Linked DNA regions of Coturnix japonica. The protein of the gene in region 1 interacts with the protein of each later gene in a biochemical or structural test. Links are inferred from orthologs where the notes say so. Each region holds a gene or a part of one and is shown on either strand. Other genes may lie near its edges. The genes, in order: RACGAP1 and ECT2.

Evidence for each region.
Region 2: the proteins of RACGAP1 (region 1) and ECT2 form a complex in vitro, tested with the Homo sapiens proteins (3 studies listed by BioGRID and IntAct, with this or other methods). The link is inferred for Coturnix japonica from reciprocal best matches to the Homo sapiens genes RACGAP1 and ECT2.

The regions. Positions count from the first base shown.
Region 1 is NC_029544.1:383,594-387,945, reverse strand, and holds the start of RACGAP1 (rac GTPase-activating protein 1), read right to left. Parts: upstream 2,948-4,352; 5' UTR 2,852-2,947; intron 2,586-2,851; 5' UTR 2,582-2,585; coding exon 2,497-2,581; intron 2,076-2,496; coding exon 1,873-2,075; intron 1,546-1,872; coding exon 1,409-1,545; intron 1,207-1,408; coding exon 1,137-1,206; intron 929-1,136; coding exon 875-928; intron 594-874; coding exon 516-593; intron 383-515; coding exon 265-382; intron 84-264; coding exon 1-83.
Region 2 is NC_029524.1:16,991,863-16,995,675, reverse strand, and holds part of ECT2 (protein ECT2), read left to right. Parts: intron 1-104; coding exon 105-224; intron 225-978; coding exon 979-1,047; intron 1,048-1,990; coding exon 1,991-2,101; intron 2,102-3,007; coding exon 3,008-3,104; intron 3,105-3,813. UniProt on the Homo sapiens protein: Guanine nucleotide exchange factor (GEF) that catalyzes the exchange of GDP for GTP. Promotes guanine nucleotide exchange on the Rho family members of small GTPases, like RHOA, RHOC, RAC1 and CDC42.

The DNA.
Region 1 (4,352 bases):
GGTGACAGAACCATTGCTCTCTGATTTGGATTCCACCTGCTTAAAGCCTAAGCTTGTCTCACTGCTCCAAGGCTGCAAAGGACCTAGAAAACAGAAGAGGAGCATTGTCTAGATGGGAACCGTACCCTAGTGCATTCCGTGCTCCAGACAACATGCACTACAAATCAGAGGCAGCAGCTTAAGTGGTGGAGCATAGGAAATTACAATGACAGGACACCCTCCAGCCTGCTAAGCACTGATTTAGGACAACAAGCTGACACCTACCACTCTTTCTCTGGCTTCTCAGGCTGTAGGGCACAGTCTGAATGGTAGAGATGGCTTCAATAGGACCACCATCACTGGGAACCATGAAAGTCGTCTTTGCCACTATGGATTCATTTCCCTGTAGCAAGAAGTGTGTTGTTGGTGACAGCAATGCTGACAGGACAAGGATTTAAGTCTGTTGGCCCTGGAAGCAGGTGTGCACTGTGGCCAACTGCTTTAAACACACACACAGCCAGCTGGGATCACTATACCTGGTCTGCTGTGGAGCCAATTGATCTGATTTTCTTCTCAGGAGCTGGTGGGCCTTCAGCATGCTGCCTGGAAGAGCGCTGAAAAGACACAGTATTTTAGTCTAAAAGGCAGGTAATACTATTAACTTAGTGATGTATTTTAACCACTCTCTTGCAGACTCAAGTTCATAACAAGATACCTGAAACTCCACTCATTATGCCCTGTGGAAAAACAGTATCAGAAATAACTTTCACACCAAATCTACACAGCAAGTCTGAATCACATCCATCAAGGTTTTGTGACTAGCACCTACCCATCACAGGTGACACCAGTTAATGCTAACAACAGTATCTATGTGAAGGGAAAGAATTGAACATACCCTCTTCTCTCTCCTCTTCAGTCTGACAGTTTTCACTGCAGAGGAATCCCAGTCCTGTGGAAAACATGCAGCACTGGTTAGCTCAGCGTAAACACCACACCACCTCTGGTCCACACCTCCATTACGTTTTACCCAATAGCACAGCAGAGATATGCAGATCAGCTCTACCAATTTAATACCACAGTAATCTAAACACAAGAGGTCTCTAGAGATTACCCCGCAGGTTTAAGATTTCATAGTTTAGAACTTGGAATTACATTACCAGTGAATCATCAGTCTTGTCAAAGCTGATGTCTGACAGAATTGAGCCAGATTCATCTATTGTAGACAGTCTAAAAACCAAGAATTAGAAGAAGCATGCATCAGTTTGGCTTTCAGGCAGCTGTGGTCCCAAAGCAACCTTAGGCAAAAGAGCTCTATTTCAAACTGGAATAAAAGTAAAACTGTTGATATGGATGCAACATGTATCTCAGACACACGCAGGCAGACCAGTAGCTGTCACTTATGCTGTTCAGACAAAACCATTCTGCCTACCTCTTGTTGCCTGAACCTCCTACAGAAACCTGTGGTTTGTTAAGGAAGGCAAGGGCAGACTTCTGTTCTTCACTTAGCTGAATGCTCCCAGATGCATCACACATGAGCAGCTCTCGAATCAGTTGTATTTGCCTCTCCTGAAAAGAAAGATAATATCAGAAGCCGTTTAATTACATGAACCAATCTCAGGTATTTGAGATACCACACAGATAGGCTCTCACAAATTGCTAAGAGCAAGTCCAGCACTCAAGCTGCTGATATCTGCAAAGCCCAGGCTCTGAAACAGCAGCCCTTCGCCTTCCAGACAAAAGCAGAAGGCCATTACAAGGAGCCAGATCAACCCATCACTGACTTGTTTTTATTCCCCCTATTGTTTCCACACCCCCCCCCCCCCGGTTAATTGCAGTTTAACCACCTTCTCTCCACATCAACTAGAGCTAACCAGTAATAAAAGAAACACTCACCAGCCTGTCACAGTCTGCTTCAGCTTTTTGCCTGCGTTTGATCTCTACATCCACTTGATTGCGCGCATGTTTCAGCTTCACGTCCAAAGCACTACGTTCAGCTTCACTTTTCATCAGCAGGTCTTTGTATCTTCCAAGCTCCTGCTCAGTTTTCTGCCACTTCCTTCGATAGTCTTCAAAGTTCTTCGCCAGCTGAATAAATTCTGGAGAAAAGATACATCACTCAGATTAAGAGAGGAGATGCAACAGCTCTCCTATAATTGAGGGCAGACTTCTAATAATTAATTAATTAAAATCTCTATTAATTGAAACATGGAGAAGCTGGCCTTGCAGCAAACCCCACTACACTCTGGATGTTCCCAAGATGTCACCACCTTTGCAGACCAAGTCTCAGCAGCAGCATCAAGCAGCAGATACCTCATGTGAGACCCTGACAAAGGCAACTTGCTTTCACCCTATGACTCCCTATTTCTCAACAACAGGAAAAAGAAACAACCTTCAAATCTGGCTGCCTGGAAGAGTGTTATTACTCAAGACCTCATCAACAGATCCTTCAATAACAGCTAGCAATGCTTGCTGCAAGAATATAAACACACAGATGCTGCTTGATGTCTCAAAACTTACGGCATTCATTCCCCTCGCTTAAAACTTCAGCCTGGCGTATGAGTTGGTCACACAAATTCCACAGGTTCCTCATTGTGGTATCCATCCTCCTGCCAAGAAAACAGAACTAAATCAACACCTCCAAATGAAAAATGCATTACCAGCCCCAAAAAAGAGAGAATTTGCTTCAGAATTCTCTTTTCTTTAGGCAAGATGTAGCAGCTGCACACACACAAAAAAAAGATGTTAGGCTTTATGAAGAGATGTGCATCTAAATTCTTAGGGGGCAAAGGCACTCAGCCCTCCAGAATTTAGTATTAGAGCAGCACAGCTTCCCAAACAGCCTCCAGTTTACTACAGAGGAGGGATCACAAACCATTTTCCTTCTGCCAGGCTGCAGGACGTGGCTCGGGCCCACTCCGGTGCTATATAGGCCACCAGAAATCTGTAAGCATTCAGAGCAACACGAGGTAAAAATAGAAGCAGCATTCAGGGGGAATTTCAATGCCGTTTTATATTTAGCTCCACTTTAAGTTACAGCTCCTGCTGCAAACGGCCTTGGAAATGCAGGCAGTCAGCACAAATCCCTCAAACAGCGAAAACAACGGCATAAACAGGAGCAGCCAAGAGGAAAGCCTCGAGCTCAGCAGCACAGAACGCAGTTCTTTAATACAGAAGGGGGCACTCAGGACAGGCTTGGTTAATGAATGAGCTCCAGGTGAAGGGGCGGCTGTGAAGGATGGCTGGGAGTGGCACCAGGAGGGGCACAACGCCCTGTTACAATGCTTGGTTATAACCCCACACACATTGGGGTTTTCTGCATGGAAAAGCAAAGCTCTGAGGACACTCCATAGCCCTGTGTCTCACTCCCCAGCACCTCAATACACCCACAGCTCCATATGGAGCCCTCACAGCCTCTTCATAGGGCACAACGGGTGGGACAGCCCTGAGGTAACAGGCCTCGGGCCTGCCCTGAGGTAACAGGCCTCGGGCCTGCCCTGAGGTAACAGGCCTCGGGCCTGCCCTGAGGTAACAGGCCTCGGGCCTACCCCGCGCCACACACACCGGGAGGCTGCCCGGCAATAGGGCCCCACCGAGCCTCCTCAGCTCAAGATCAGGGCCCTGCAGACCACCTCCCTCAGCCCAGGACCCTGCTGATGCCCCCCAATCCCATATCGAAGCCCCTTAGACCCCTCCCCAACCCGGCTTCCCCCCGCGCACTCACCCGCTCCGAGCTCCCACTCCAACAGCCGGCTTCAACTGCCCCGCGATTCGGTTTGAATCCCTGCCGCCGGCCAATCACAGGGCGCTCTCCACCCTTCTGGTTTCTGATTGGTTCTGCTCGCCGTGTGTCTGAAGCCAAATTGGCGCCATGTCTGCTAAGGGCAAAGCTTTTTCCCTTCCTCTGATTTCCGGGTTTGACAGATGGTGAAGTCGGCTAGGCGCCATGTTTACTATTGGCAGTTGCTTCCAGCCCTTGTTGCTTAGCAACAGAGCAGGCAGGGATGGCGGTGGGGCCTGGACCCCCAACCCAAGGGCTGCTCCTTCTGCATTAACCCTGAACGCAGCCATTGGCAGCACAGGGGTATTTTGGGGGAAGAAATGCTATTCTCAGGCCAAGCCCTGGCTGTAACTGTGCTAAACCAATGACACAAAGCATGGCAGGGTTCCGAGTCCCCTGTGCATTGGTGACATCAGGCATTCAATGTGCCCCAAAGCTATTTCAGATAACAAAAGCTTTCCAGAAGGCCTTTGGTTCAGTGTTGTCCCTTGAGAAGAATGATGCCGTGGCCTTTTGTCTTCTATTTGAGCCAACAGACCCACAAGCCAAAAGGCAAAGCCTCATTTCATTCCTCCTCCCATTTGCAAGCCTTTAA
Region 2 (3,813 bases), on another chromosome or scaffold:
TGTGATTGAAGGAAAGTATGATCTGGAAGACAACACCATTGTTTTCATAACTATTTCATACACAATGCATGGAAGATGTAATGACTCTTTGTCTAACACATCAGTTATTTCAAGTTCCGTTGGAGAAGGAGGGACAACTTGGAGGACCAATACTTGCACAGGAAGAGATTAAGACTATATTTGGCAGCATTCCAGATATTCTTGATGTACACACTAAAATCAAGGTAAACTGTAATTTCCCCCCGCACAGGAAGATATGATGCAAACTTTAAGTTCTGTTTGTGTTAAGCCATAGCTACTGAATGGATACATAATCATTAGGGTGAATTAAGAGCAAATCTGAAATATACTTTTAATTTATAAATGAAGTTCTTAAGTACCTGAAGTCTGAGTGTTATATGTAACTAATACTGCCATTCGTGAGCTGTACTCAGAATTAAGTACAGCGGTTGTCTGTCTTTCTTCAGCTTTGGTGTAATGAAGATAAGTAGCAGATACAAATGGAGAATAGTGATGAAACCTCTCAAAGGGAATCCTGAACTTCAGCTGTACTGTCTTGTCCCTGTTATTAGCTGACAGTAAATAAGCTTGATCCTTATCAAGCTGATAGGTGCTTAACAGCTTGCTCTTACTCTTCTTAACCCTTGGTGCACCTAGTTGGGGAAACCTATGCTAATTCTCATTTAATTCTAACTGCTATTATGCCGTTTTTGTTACAGAGCTAACTAGTTCAGACACATCATTAGACTCTGCTTCTATTGATTCAAAAATGTATATTTGGTAAATCAGGAGTTTTGCTATCATCTCTTGATAAACTTAAGAGGTTTACTGTGAAGTTGTGTGGGTTTTAGGACTGCCTGTTTTATTATGTGTTTGTGCTGACTATGTGTGTTTAGCAGAGCACTGGTACCATCTTAAAGCTTTATGCAGTTGTCACTCATGTTCTTTTCTTCTCCCATCCTTGCGCCTAACCTATAGGAAGACCTGGAAGATCTTATGGTGAACTGGACTGAAAGCAAAAGTATTGGTGATATCTTTCTTAAATATGTAAGTTTCTGTTTTTATGCATTTGAACTATAGTGAGATATTATCTTACAGAAAACCCACTGTAGGATCTAACAAACACAAGCATAGCACTACTGAGTAAGCAAGAACACTGACTCGTGTTATTGTATCTTCTGTTTAGACTTCTTAGCTGAGTTAAGTGATATACTTTGTGTAAGTAATCCCTGTCAGCCTGCATCTGTCTGTTTGCATTATGGATTAAAACTTCAGATGGGTGTAATTAAAAGCAGCCTTCAATTTGCAGCGCTACAGACATTTTTTACTTAAATGGTAGAAGAAACTCTTACTGTAATTTTAGTGATCTTCTGCCTCCTTTCAATAATATGGAATTAAGAAGTTAACTTTTTGAAGGCACTTGCACTTTTCCTTGAAGACTTAAAATGTGTGAATAATGACTGCTTATTTTTCACGAGTACATAATGTACAGAACATGAAAGCTAGATCTGGGACTGAAGTACTTTTTAACATAGTAAGCCTGATACTTATCTTGTGCTTTTTCTGCCTTAATCATGCTGAGGCAAAGAACGTTTTGAATTCAAACGCTCTTGATCTGAGGTATTGCTTATGGTGATTTAATGCCATTCTTTCCTAAAGGTGATTGCACATGCTGGTGAAGATATCTAGAATTTCCCAAACTTTCACTGAAAGTATCTTGTTAGATAAGAATCTCCTCTGCTTGAAAGATCTGCTCAGTGGCTTCTAGATTATCACATTTGTACTTGAGAGCAGTCTGTATTTCATAAGCAGCCTTCAGTCTTGAACATTTGGCATGCAAAAATGTCCTAACTTGTTATGTGAGCACGCACAGGTTTACAATGCTTTATACTTCATTAAAATGTCCCTTTGAGCAGCTCGGGGTGTATAGACATATGTGCAATGCTACATCATATGTAAAGCAGAGCTCTTACAGTTGTTTGTTTTTCAGTCAAAAGACTTGTTGAAAACATATCCACCATTTGTGAACTTCTTTGAAATGAGCAAGGAAACTATTACTAGATGTGAAAAACAGAAGCCAAGGTTTCATGCCTTCCTGAAGGTATGTGTTTTGCTTGAAGCTGTGTGAATGTGGCAACTATCATGAAGTAAACTATTTAATGCAGTTGATGAAGAACTTGAAATTTTAAGAACCTGAAGGATTGTTGAATAGGAAGGATTTGAACTTCAATCCCTTAAGTTTCTCAGGAGTCTCTTTACTAAGAGATTCAAGTTCCTTGTCTGTAACAGCTTCTAAGCTAGTTTGATTATATGCTGAAAAACTTATTTGTCTCCCAAACACATACCTTTTTTTCTTTATTGATCCCCATCCTTGTGCTGAAGACTTGCAAGTTAAAAGCTATTTTGGGAAAACTGTTGCAGAAATGAAGTTCCAAGGAGGTAGAATGTCTCACTGTCTCACTATTCCTGTGGCTAATGAGAAGAGGATTTAAGAGAAGGCTATCTTCAAAGGGAAAGTTGTCTGTAGAGGAGTCTTTATACACCCAGGGTTCTAGATAAACCTGTATAGTTGACTGTTAGTTCAGCGTAGCTTTAAATCTTCTGCATCTAATGAGCATATCTTAAAAAAACAAACCAAACCCCAAAACAATCAAGCTAAAAGATCCCAGTTCTTGTTTTCTGAGATATTAAGGACTATTTCTGCATATTAATAATTAAATGATGGGGAAATGATAAAGCATGCAACCAGCTCACCTGTCTCAGTATGCCTTAACATCTGGAACAAAGTCTGAGAAGTTGGTAATATGGGCAGTTGAATTGTTTTGAAAAGATGAGTGATAAACACTATCTAGATTTGAATGCCTTCTAATGTGATTGCTTAACCACTGTGTACCTGTTTTGAAAGACTCTGGGGAAACTTCTGCAATGCTGGTCTTGGAAGATATAACACTTCCCTTTTAGTTGGAAAAATAAGAACTATTTCCTTTTTCCCCCCCTTTTCTTGTAGATAAACCAAGCTAAACCAGAATGTGGTCGTCAAAGCCTAGCTGAACTACTTATCCGTCCTGTTCAAAGGTTGCCTAGTGTTGTTCTACTACTAAATGGTAATCTAGTTTTTGGTTTTTTTTTTTTGTATGTTTGATCAAGGTATTTAAAACCAAGATAATCCTGCTTTTGGCATGATTAGAAGTGGCTTGTCTTACATGAAGCATACTTCTTTCTAAGAGTTAATCACACTTAATAGCAATCAGCAAGACCAATTACTGAAACAAGCATAGTTCAAGAAAATTTCACTTGTGTGCTTCAGATACATACATGAACAGCTAGAAAAGCTTGTTCTGAAGACAGTTTTGTTGTCTTAAGTACAAGTGTAACTGAGGTTCAAATGAGAGAACAATTCATATCAACAAGGCTACAGCTTCACGTGTTTGTCTTGAGATCACCCACTTAATGTAACAATTATAAAAATCTGTTAGATGTGAGTTAACATTGTCTTCACAGACCACAACATCCACTTCATAAGGCAGGAATCTGGATACTTAATAAAGCATGTAAATAGTCATTTCTAAAACTGGCTATTAATAGTAGTAATGTAAGCTTAACGTGCAGTTAAACTTATATTTGGAAGCTGAAGTACCATAAATCAACATAGATACTGTGGTGCATAAGTCACACCATGTGTTAAACTACTTCAGTTGATGACTGCCAGCTGCAGTGATGGGTAGTTCATGTGGATGAATTGATATGAAATTACTCTAACCAAAAAAATTAAATTGTCTTCCTTTGTCTTCCTCCTTCTTAAATTCTCAACAT